3 linked regions of the Macaca mulatta genome follow. The protein of the gene in region 3 purifies or fractionates together with the protein of the main gene of each other region. This does not show direct contact. Links are inferred from orthologs where the notes say so. Each region holds a gene or a part of one and is shown on either strand. Other genes may lie near its edges.

The links.
Region 1: the proteins of U2SURP (region 3) and SF3A2 purify together in Homo sapiens (affinity purification with mass spectrometry; 3 studies listed by BioGRID, with this or other methods). This does not show direct contact. The link is inferred for Macaca mulatta from reciprocal best matches to the Homo sapiens genes U2SURP and SF3A2.
Region 2: the proteins of U2SURP (region 3) and U2AF2 purify together in Homo sapiens (affinity purification with mass spectrometry; 3 studies listed by BioGRID and IntAct, counting the BioPlex papers as one, with this or other methods). This does not show direct contact. The link is inferred for Macaca mulatta from reciprocal best matches to the Homo sapiens genes U2SURP and U2AF2.

What each region holds. Positions count from the first base shown.
Region 1 is NC_133424.1:2,990,520-2,994,167, forward strand, and holds part of SF3A2 (splicing factor 3A subunit 2), read left to right. Parts: intron 1-595; 5' UTR 596-632; coding exon 633-758; intron 759-1,721; coding exon 1,722-1,793; intron 1,794-1,909; coding exon 1,910-1,956; coding exon of another isoform or gene 1,957-1,985; intron 1,986-3,206; coding exon of another isoform or gene 3,207-3,229; coding exon 3,230-3,339; intron 3,340-3,648. UniProt on the Homo sapiens protein: Component of the 17S U2 SnRNP complex of the spliceosome, a large ribonucleoprotein complex that removes introns from transcribed pre-mRNAs.
Region 2 is NC_133424.1:68,010,925-68,014,572, forward strand, and holds part of U2AF2 (splicing factor U2AF 65 kDa subunit), read left to right. Parts: intron 1-349; coding exon 350-501; intron 502-1,789; coding exon 1,790-1,906; intron 1,907-2,996; coding exon 2,997-3,135; intron 3,136-3,648. UniProt on the Homo sapiens protein: Plays a role in pre-mRNA splicing and 3'-end processing. By recruiting PRPF19 and the PRP19C/Prp19 complex/NTC/Nineteen complex to the RNA polymerase II C-terminal domain (CTD), and thereby pre-mRNA, may couple transcription to splicing.
Region 3 is NC_133407.1:46,012,746-46,016,393, reverse strand, and holds part of U2SURP (U2 snRNP-associated SURP motif-containing protein), read right to left. Parts: intron 3,346-3,648; coding exon 3,223-3,345; intron 2,143-3,222; coding exon 1,986-2,142; intron 1,225-1,985; coding exon 1,129-1,224; intron 435-1,128; coding exon 368-434; intron 1-367.

The sequences.
Region 1 (3,648 bases), on a different chromosome or scaffold from region 3:
GGGGACTCAGCAGAGCCCTCCTGCGCCACAAGCAGATGTGACCGATCTCCCGGATGTTACCCAGTCAGGACACAAAGATCAGTGTCCTCACCTCCCAATAAGTTTACAGCGAACCCAAGAGATAGAATTAGGCTGGGGATAAGTAAGCGCAGCCAACCAGAGAGGGAGTTCAGAGGAAGGCTTGAACACTGGGGGCTTAGGCAGTCCGGGAAGGCTCCCTGGTGGTGGTGACTCGTTTGTGAGAATTTGGCCTTGTCTTCCCTTTATGCCTTCTCTGGGCTCCCCGCTCCATTTCAGGTCTCCAGGCCTTGGCACTCTGGGCTGGAGTGGCTTCCTCTCCATCCCTCACATACGCTCATTTGGAGACAGGCTCCAGCTTCCCTCGTGTCTGTGCCTGTCCACAGTGGGCCTCGGCCTCCTGGAAGAGACTGGGTGCACTTTGGGGTGGCCCCCTCAGGGCTGGTTAGACCCTGGCTCTGGGAGTGCAGGGTGAGGGGCTGTCACAGGCTCCAGCCTGGTGGCCTGGCCCAGGGAGGTCCCAGCAGCAGCCGTGAGTTCTGAGCCATCCTTCTTTCTCTCCTCTTGGCCTCCACAGGTGTCTCCCGGTCTGCTAAAGCCCCAAGGCCGTCACCATGGACTTCCAGCATCGCCCTGGGGGCAAGACCGGGAGCGGGGGCGTGGCCTCCTCCTCCGAGAGCAACCGTGACCGCAGGGAGCGCCTCCGGCAGCTGGCCCTAGAGACCATCGACATCAACAAGGTGGGCCAGCCACCGTGCAGCCGCCTGTGGCGGGGGCTCGGCTTTCCAGGACAGCCCTGGAGAGGGTGCCAGAGGCTCTTCCTGGGCCTCCACCCAGCCTGGGCGGTGCAGCCCCGTGTCCAGATGCTCCCCTGTTGCCCCGAGTAGCTACAGCTCCCATCTGTCCGCCTTAGAGAGCAGACCCTCTGTGGCTCTGAGCCCCGTGTGAGAGTGTTTTGTTCTGTCCAAAACCTTCTGTTTCGCATCATTTAATTTTCTGGGAGTGGGGAGAGCTTATGTCAGTCCAGCCAGATGTGGTGAAGGGCAGCCTTTGATTTTAGCTTGTGCAGGGGCGGGGATGAGCCGGGTCCCCTCAGCACTGTGGACATCGGGACTGGAGCACTCTCTGTGTACCCTGACACGCCCCACGGACCTGGCCTATGACGAGGGCTCTGTCACTGTCCCTGTCTTCCAGATGACGTCACGGGTGGAGGGGTGCCCCAGCCACAGATGGTGGAGTTAGCCTTTGAACTCCAGCGTCTGAGACGAGAGGCGTGCGCCTGGCTGCCCCGGCTTAGGGCCTGGAGATGGACGGGTCTCTGGGCCTTCAGTGTAGCCCATTTGCTTTTCTTGTGCCTGTGTCTGCCTTGTGCCGACCACTGGTGTGGTGGCGTGGGCAGCGGACAGCTCCCTGCATTGGGAGTGACCAGGAGTGCTGTGCTGACTCTGCCTCCCTCTGACTCAGAACCACCAGGAAGGTGGTGCGGGGGGCTCCCTGGGAACCCCCGCTGCTCAGAGCCTGGGCCACAGCCCCAGGCGGTGACACCTGTGCTCACAAAGGCCTCCCGCCGGATCCCCCGTTTTCAGAAACGCTTGACACCGTCAGGGACAGCCATGCCTGTACAGAAAGGGGATCCTGCGTCTGAGGGCCCTGACCGCAGCAGGCCTCGATCTGTCTAACGGGCGCCTGTTCTTCCCCTCCAGGACCCGTACTTCATGAAGAACCACCTGGGCTCCTATGAATGCAAGCTGTGCCTGACGCTTCACAACAATGAGGTGCGGCCTCTGCCCGGCTCCGGGCAGCTCGCGGCGGGCTGAGTGGCTGACGTCAGGGGGACCTGCCTGTGTCTGTCTGCCCGGCCCGAGTCATGTGTGTTTCCTTTCCACTCCAGGGGAGCTACCTGGCACATACCCAGGGGAAGAAGCACCAGACCAACCTGTGAGTACCCCGTGCCCCTTCGATTCCTGGTGCTCCAGCAGCTGTCGGCTCAAGTCTCTGTGAGCCTCACGGGCCACTGCTCCACGGCCGGGAAGCCAGCCTGGTCTGGGCCTCCCTGGGCGCTGGAGTACGGTTTCTGGGGAGCATTAGAGAACAGAGGCGTGGATGGCTGAGGCGGGCAGATCACTTGAGGTCAAGAGTTCGAGACCAGCCTGACCAACATTGTGAAACTCCATCTTGTGCCGGGCGCGGTGGCTCAAGCCTGTAATCCCAGCACTTTGGGAGGCCGAGACGGGCGGATCACGAGGTCAGGAGATCGAGACCATCCTGGCTAACACGGTGAAACCCCGTCTCTACTAAAAAATACAAAAAACTAGCCGGGCGTGGTGGCGGGCGCCTGTAGTCCCAGCTACTCGGGAGGCTGAGGCAGGAGAATGGCGTGAACCCGGGAGGCGGAGCTTGCAGTGAGCCAAGATCACGCCACTGCACTCCAGCCTGGGTGACAGAGCGAGACTCCATCTCAAAAAAAAAAAAAGAAAAAAAGAAACTCCATCTTTACTAAAAATCTAAAAATTAGGCTGGGCATGGTGATGCACACCTGTAATCACAGCTACTATGGAGGCTGAGGCAGGAGAATCTTGAATCTGGGAGGAAGAGGTTGCAATGAACCGAGATGGCGCCACTGCACTCCAGCCTGGGCGACAGAGCGAGACTCAGTCTTATTTAAAAAAAAAAAAAAGAAGAAAGGCCGAGCGCAGTGGCTCACGCCTATAATCCCAGCACTTTGGGAGACCAAGGCGGGCAGATCACCTGAGGTCAGGAGGGCAAGACCAGCCTGACCAACATGGAGAAACCCCATCTCTACTAAAAATACAAAAAATTAGTCGGGCTTGGTGGTGCATGCCTGTAATCTCAGCTACTGGGGAGGCTGAGGCAGGAGAATCGCTTGAACCTGGGAGATGGAGGTTGCGGTGAGCCAAGATCGCGCCACTGCACTCCAGCCTGGGCCACAAGAGCAAAACTCGGTCTCAAAAAAAAAAAAAAAAAGCAGAGGCATGGAGTTGTTGGTAGGACCCCAGCCAGGGACAGTGAGGAGCATGACAGGAAGAGAACGTGCCTGTCCTATCCCTGTTCTCAGCCAAACCCCAGGGCCCCTCCCAGGCCCCTGGCCCTCCTCATCCCTCAGTTTATAGTGAGCTCCAAGGTCAGGGGGCCCGTGGCCTTGGTGCCTGTGTGTGGAGGGGCCCCAGCACCACGTCCATCCTGCCTGCAGGGCCCGGCGAGCCGCCAAGGAGGCCAAGGAGGCCCCTGCCCAGCCTGCACCTGAGAAGGTCAAGGTGGAGGTGAAGAAGTTTGTGAAGATCGGCCGCCCAGGCTACAAAGGTGAGTGCCCGGAGCGGCGCTGGCCACAGCCGCTGCTGCTGCATGAATAGGTTCTTTGGGCTCCAGTGCAGGAGGCGCAGCCCTGAGACCCTCATTCCTGAGCCGCTGTTTTCTGGCCTTGGTGGCCATCCCTCACCCACCTGCAGCCTCTGGCGTTGTGTCTGGGAGCTGTCAGGCTGAGCCCGATAAGCACCCGTCTCACCCAGCGGCCCCTTTCCCAGCTGAGCCACAGTCTGTGCCCTCCTGTCCGAGTGTTGTGGAAGCTTCTGGGGAGTCTTGCCAAGCCAAAGAGTGGAAGTGGAGGTGTGG
Region 2 (3,648 bases), on a different chromosome or scaffold from region 3:
GGGCTGCTCCCAGAGCGAGAGGGTGCAGGGGCTGGGATTCTCCGTCAGTCATTCCCCTGCGTGTGTGCGTGGAGGGGGTCGAGGACACAGGTGGAGGGTTGCACACCCTTGGGAGGTCTGGTCTCTGTGCTTTTGAGGCCTCCCTCTGGACGCCATTAGGAAGTGAGGCTTCTTAGGAGTAGCAGTTACAGGGTGGGGGTCCCGAGGTGGAAAGAGGATTCTGGAAGGTGCTAGGGCCGAGAGCCTGTAGGAGCTTTTTGCCGAGGAGGGGAACTCCCAGCGTGTGGTGGGGGGAGGTCACTGAACACTCCCCTGATGGGGTTTTATCCTGCTTTTACCCCCTTTGAAGCTGCGGGTCAGATTCCAGCCACTGCTCTTCTCCCCACCATGACCCCTGACGGTCTGGCTGTGACCCCAACGCCGGTGCCCGTGGTTGGGAGCCAGATGACTAGACAAGCCCGGCGCCTCTACGTGGGCAACATCCCCTTTGGCATCACTGAGGTACTGCCCTCCCCCTGCCCTCCCCTCTCCCTTGTCCCCTACCCCATTCCTCCCCTTCCCTCCATTCCCTTTCCCCAACCTGCACGGGTCAGACTCTGCTCCTGCAAGCCCCCCCGGCCCCCTCCCAGACGGACCGATGGAGTTGAGCCAGCCAGGGGCCGGGCTGGGGGTGGCCCTCCCTCCCTCCTCTTCCCTCTCCCGTCTCCCCTCCCCCCAACCTCCTCCAGCAACCCAGGGATCAAGCACACACATAATGTACCCACGTGTTGTACCTACGTGTCGGAGAGAGACAGAGAGGGAGACTTGGACACACACACACACACACACAGACGCACGCTGCCCCTCAGTTTTTTTCTGACACGCCTCTCCTTCTCTGCCGCCTGTCCCCCATCCTCTCCCCCACGTCCCTCCCATGGTCGCTGTTCTTTTATTTTTGATCGCCCCTGACCTCCCCCTTCCCCACCACTCCTTTTCCCTCTCCCCTCTCCCCAACCCCTTCCTGTGGCACCCCCTGAGAATCCCGAGATCAAAGAGTTGTTTCCATTTCTCTTTAAAGTGAAATATTGTGGGGCTGAGATCCCTCGTAGCAACAAAAAGTTTGCTACCATCGTCGAAGGCAAGTAAGGTCCATTCTGACTTTCTCAACCTGCACTTTGCTACATTTGATAAACCAGCCCCCGGACTCCAGGGCCAGATTCCTCCACATCACTCTTTTCTCCTCCCCTCCCGTCCCTGCCCCTCCTCCCTACACTCCTCCTCTCCCACCCCTGCACTCTTGACCTCGTCCTCCTCGCTCATCTCTGTCCTGCTTTCCTTTTCTGTCCTTTGCTCGTCTCTGCCCCTGCCTGCCGCTTCCTTTCTACTTTCCTGCCACTTTTCTCTCTGTCTCCACCGGGTGTCCGTTCCCTGTGTGCCCTGTCTCTTCATCTCCTCTGTTTCATGTTTTTCTTCATTTTGTGTTGTCACCATTCTCTCTGCTTTTTCTTGAACAATCTTCTCCTTTCCCCTGATTTTTTGGGACCCCTATGGCTGTCCCCCAACGCCTGTCCATCGCCTGCCCTTGGCCGTCTTCTTGCTACTGCTTCCTCCCCATTTTCTCTCTTGCTTCTGTTCCTACTATTGACTTCTACACCCCCACCCATATTCCACTGTTCCTTCCCCCCCTCCTCCCTCCCCTCATCCCTCTCCCCTTACCCCCAAACCCCTCTGTGTCTCCCTCTCTCACCCTTCCCCTCCTCTCTCCACCTCCCTTCCCCCGCCCCCCCCTTGTCTCCTATTCCCTCTGCAGGAGGCCATGATGGATTTCTTCAATGCCCAGATGCGCCTGGGGGGGCTGACCCAGGCCCCTGGCAACCCGGTGTTGGCTGTGCAGATTAACCAGGACAAGAATTTTGCCTTTTTGGAGGTGAGCTGGGGGAGTGCGTGGGGTCAAGGAAACGTGTGTGATGTGAGGGCCCATCCCCCAGGCGGCAGGTGTGTGGAGCTGCCCTGCGCTGTTTCCACTGGGCCCTCTGCAGCCCATTCTCCACCTGGTCGCTGAAGTGAGCCCTGTAATAGCTCTGCAGATCTGATCCTACTTTCTGCCTTACCTTTGCTTTCTGTGTGACCCGAGAGGCCTGTTTGGCCTCTGCCGACCTTTTTGGCCTTTTCCAGACCATTCTGGCGCAGTCCTCTGCACTCTGGCCATGCTGACCTTCCCAGTAGTACCATGCTCCTGCATGCTTGGCTAGAGTTCTTCACCCCAGCTGACTGATGTTCCTAACTAGTCTTCTGTCACCCCAGCTGACTGATGTTCCTAACTAGTCTTCCGTTACCCCAGCTGACTGATGTTCCTAACTAGTCTTCCGTTACCCCAGCTGACTGATGTTCCTAACTAGTCTTCCGTTACCCCAGCTGACTGATGTTCCTAACTAGTCTTCTGTTACCCCAGCTGACTGATGTTCCTAACTAGTCTTCTGTGTCAGTGTTTCTCAACCGTTGGGAAAGGGCCTTGGTTTTTGATTTTCGACTCTTGGACTGATACCTGGTGAAGTACTGTGAAGGCATTGGCAGTGTTGGCTTGCTCTAGAGGTTTCTGAGCACTCCCTCTCACTTTGTACTTGCCTCACTGCAGTCCACTTTCCGTTGCGCTGCTCCGGATGTGGGCTGAAATGTCCCCTCACCAGAAATACTCCAGTATTGTCATCTCCCCATTCAACTAGGCTTCCCCGTGACATCCTTTTTCAGCATTTTGTCCCTCTTCTGCATCGTCACAGCCTGCAGTTGTGTGTGTGCCTCTGTGTTGGTGTTGGGTGCCTGGTGTCTCTCACGGTCGAGTGTGAGCTCCTGGCAGCAGGGACATGCGTGTCTGTTGTCCTCCCAATGCCCAGCCTGGGGCCTGGCATGTCATATTTGTTCACATGAGTGAAAGGAAAGAGGAAATCCCAATCCTGGAACACTAGGGCCTGTATCAGTCACTGGCCGCCACCCTCACCACACCTTTCTCTTTCATTCAGTTCCGCTCAGTGGACGAGACTACCCAGGCCATGGCCTTTGACGGCATCATCTTCCAGGGCCAGTCACTAAAGATCCGCAGGCCTCATGACTACCAGCCGCTTCCTGGCATGTCAGAGAACCCCTCCGTCTATGTGCCTGGTGAGTGGGGGATCCATTAAGGGTCCTCTTCCTCCCCAGTCCTGTTCCCATGGCCCGTCCTTCCCTTCAGCCCAGCTGGAGTGGCTTAGGAAGTCATGTAAGTACTGTGGACCATAGGTGCCTTTTCCCTGCTTCCCCTCAGTCTGTGTGAGTGGGGTGCTCTCCTGCTGTTAGAGAAAGTGCTTAGGGCCGGGAGAGGGAGCTGTGACCTGCTTGGGGACACACAGCTTGTACGTGGCAGAGCCAGGATCAGACCAAAGGTGCTGGGGGAAGTGAGGGGCTTGTGGTCGGGACCTGGTGCCTGCTCTGGGACCTTGGAGGGCTCGGTCTGTGCCCGTCGGGGCTGGCGTGCGTCGACAGTTGGCAGCAAAGTTCCTGCTGTGGGGTCTGGCACCTGGGTGTTCACTCGTTTTTTGTTTCCCATGTTTGCCTTGAATCTTGTGTTCTGGGCCATTCCCCATAGCTGTGTTTAATATCGTCTCTAATTGGTAGGTAACAGCAAATCAGGGGTTG
Region 3 (3,648 bases):
TAGTTCTTCTGAAAGGTTTATATTTAAATTAACACAATGGCCATAATGCAGTATTTTTCTTAGCAATGTACAATCCAAAAGAAAGGAGTATAACCTTTCCTACTCACATTTTAAAAACCACTTTTTGTGGAGCCCAAAACAATATTTGATGGCAAAGATTTGAAACAAATGCAGTTGACCAATTAGTAACTACAAAGTGAGAATGTAACCCAGCGTAAAAAACTCACAAGCAAAATGAAACCAGATCCATCAAGACCAGAAAGCAAAAGTGAAGTTTTCCACTTCACTATTATTTCAACTATATCTCTTAATGAAAAAGGGAATGTATATGAACAAGAAACAGTATATTTGGAACTTAGATTCTTACTTTTGATTTTCTTCTTCTTCTGATTCTTCATGCTGGTCAAATAATTCCCATTTAGAAGTTGTAACAGCTGAATAGAAGGAAAAAGAGGATGTAATTCCATGAGGTAAACTAGCATTTTTGCAGCAGCACAGTGGAAGCTCAAGCTTTAGAACTGAAAAGTTTATATTACAGAAGTTTCCTTTATCTATGTTTATCAATTCTCTAAATAGCTATTTATATGCCAATTCTCTTTCCTCACACCTACAGTATAATTCAAATTCATGAAGTGATGAATAATGTCATCCCTGTTTCTGTGTTGAATATTAAGATTTCATTAGAACCTACAAATAGTAACAATTATGGATTATCAGCACTAGGATACAGGTCTAAGTAAGTGTGAGACAGGTCTAAATGGCATCTAATCAGTCTAGGATTATGGGAGGGTCAAATCAAAAAGTTTCTCTGAAACTGACCTCTATGTAGATTTCTACGTAGGTACAGCTTCCTATCTACATTTACTACTAAAATGCCTTAACTTGAAAGGTTTTCAGTGATATCTCATTACTCTCAAAGCCTCCAAACTGAAGGACCTAAGAAAATTGTAACAGCAACACCAACCACAATAAAAGTGTACATTAGACACAAAATACGGTAACATTGAGTATTAAGGTTAAAATGTGTTACAAAACATAAAAGGAAAACATATATACAATATACAAGCACACCAATAAATAACTTATTAAGTACTTAATGTAAAAAATACTCATTTTACTTTTACTCACCCTGTGCTTCCAATTCAGATTCATCCACAGCTTCCCATTTTGATGGGGCAACTTTAAATATAGGCTCATTCTTCTTTGAGTCTTCAGTTGCATCCACTATTAGGGAAGATAAGCCATTAACCCTGACGACTAGGGGATGATGCAAAGTATTACGTTCATGGGTGTTCACCATATTATTAAAAAGCAAAGTAAAATAAGGACACGGATGGACCAACCGTAATCCTGAGAACAAGGACTATGACTAAACCAATTCTCTGCATCTGAGGGCAAAATTTTTAACAGTATATATTATATCAATTCAGAAAATACAGGTTAGTAATATATTAAGCAAGTGAAGAAGTTGAGAAGTAAAACAAATCTTTAACAAATCTCTACAAAACTGCATACATTATTCAATATTTAAACATATAATTCAAATGTACCAAAGAGCTGTGTACAGTTCCTATTTTCAAAATGGTTCTAGGCAGCTAGGAAAACTGAAGTTGTAGGTTAGAAAAACTAATAATAATACAGAACTGATAAAACCAGGTACCCAGGAATATGCATAATTGAACACAAGATTTTGCCTATAATTTCCTGACAATTAAGACAAAAAGAGAAACTTGCTAATGTTATAGAAGGCTGACTGTCCCAGCAAAGAAATGTGACCAGAAAAAATGCTGCTTCTTGGCCTTTTATATACATAGCATACAAATAAATGTATTACTGGGTATTTGAATTTTGAAAAAATCAGAAATAGTTAACTTGATACCTTCATGAGAAACTATAACCTTCTTCCATATCAGCATGTATGGAAATTAGAGTTTTGGTCACCAAACTTATTAGCTAGATTTAATCAGTTTGAAATTTGAACTTACAAGGCACTCCATCAAGATCATCATCAAGACTTTTTATAGGGACTCCATCAAGATCATCAATGGGAGTAGCATCAATAGGAATTCCATCTACATCTTCCAGAGGTGCACCATCAAGCTCTTCCTCAATGGGGGCACCATCAAGGTCATCTGGAACATCCTATGGAAATGTGTACTATTGTAACATTTTCCTTTGCTTGCTGAAGTCACACTGCTTGTAAGATTAATTTGTAATCCAGTACAAGCCAACATACCAGGATACCCACAATCCAAGGTACATTGTAAGAACATAGTAAGAATATATATTCTATCATCCAGTTTGCTAAAGAAGCAGTCAGTTGTGCATTTATCTAACATTTACCAAGTGTTCACTGGTGCCAGGTACCATGTAAGGAAATGATGAGCAAAAACAAATTTGGTCCCCCTGTTACAGAGCCTGGTAAAGGTTTTTGTTGTTGTTTTGGGGGGTGGGGAAACCAGGAAATCAGATCATCACAACAATATATACTTATCTGTAACTATGGTAACTGCTACAGCAAAAAGGCGTATCATACTATTAGCATAATAAGTTTCACTTAAAGAGGTCAGAGAAGGCTCTCTAAGGTTATATCTGAGCTGAGATCTGAAGGATCTCAGGTAAAGATAAGTCCCAGAAAGAGGGAAGGACATGTATACAGGCCAATGGTAGGTGAAAACACACATTTAGGAAACTGAAACAAGGACCATGTGGGTTACAACAGCAAGGTCAATTAGGAAGATCCTGCAGGGGTGAAAGTGAAAATATAGTAGCTTGACTAGTAAGGCAGAATTAAACATTAAGGGTTCAGTAATTATTTAGGAGGTAAAGAAAAACAACAGAACGGTGGTGTATATCTGCTATCATGTGATGCATCTTTTCATGCACATATTTTACTTATATAGCTATCTTTAACAAAATAAAGTCATGCTACATAAATACTGCTCTATTACTTGCTTTTTTTCTACTATTAATATCATAAGTCTTAGGTCATTAAATAAAAAACCACTCATCAATTTTCACATAAGGACACAAGACAGAGAATTCCTGTTATATGTAATTTTGACTCCTGGGTTCCAGCAATAAAAATCCACTATTTAGTGGTAAGCAACAGATATTTTTCACAAAGAAATATACCTCGCATATGTAATGCAGCATAACTCCAAGAAACCTCCACCCCAGAAACGAATTTTAAAAACAACCAGACAAATACAGAGTGCCTACCTCTGTTTCCTTTTCTTCAATAATATTTACAAGTCCTAAGAAAATATTTTGTAGTTTGATCAAAAATGGTTCTGGATAAATTGCCCAATCTTCCCATGCTCTGAAGCAAGTCATTACCCGTTGCTAAATAAATAGGAAACAGATAACAAATTTTTATTTTGGGCTATATGTCTCAAATTTCAGTTCATGAGAATGACCATCAAGATTTGCTAAATTTGCCTTTAAAATGACATTTTTTAAGAAAATTACTATATATCATTACCATATTTTTTAAGAAAAATCAATGTCACCTTCTAATTAAAAGAAAAAAAACCCTAAAAATAAATATAATGAAAAATAAACAGTAGTTGTTTGCTCTTTACCACCTAAGGTCAGCTCCCATACCATTAGTACTACACATGAGCCACATTCAGGAAAGACTTACAT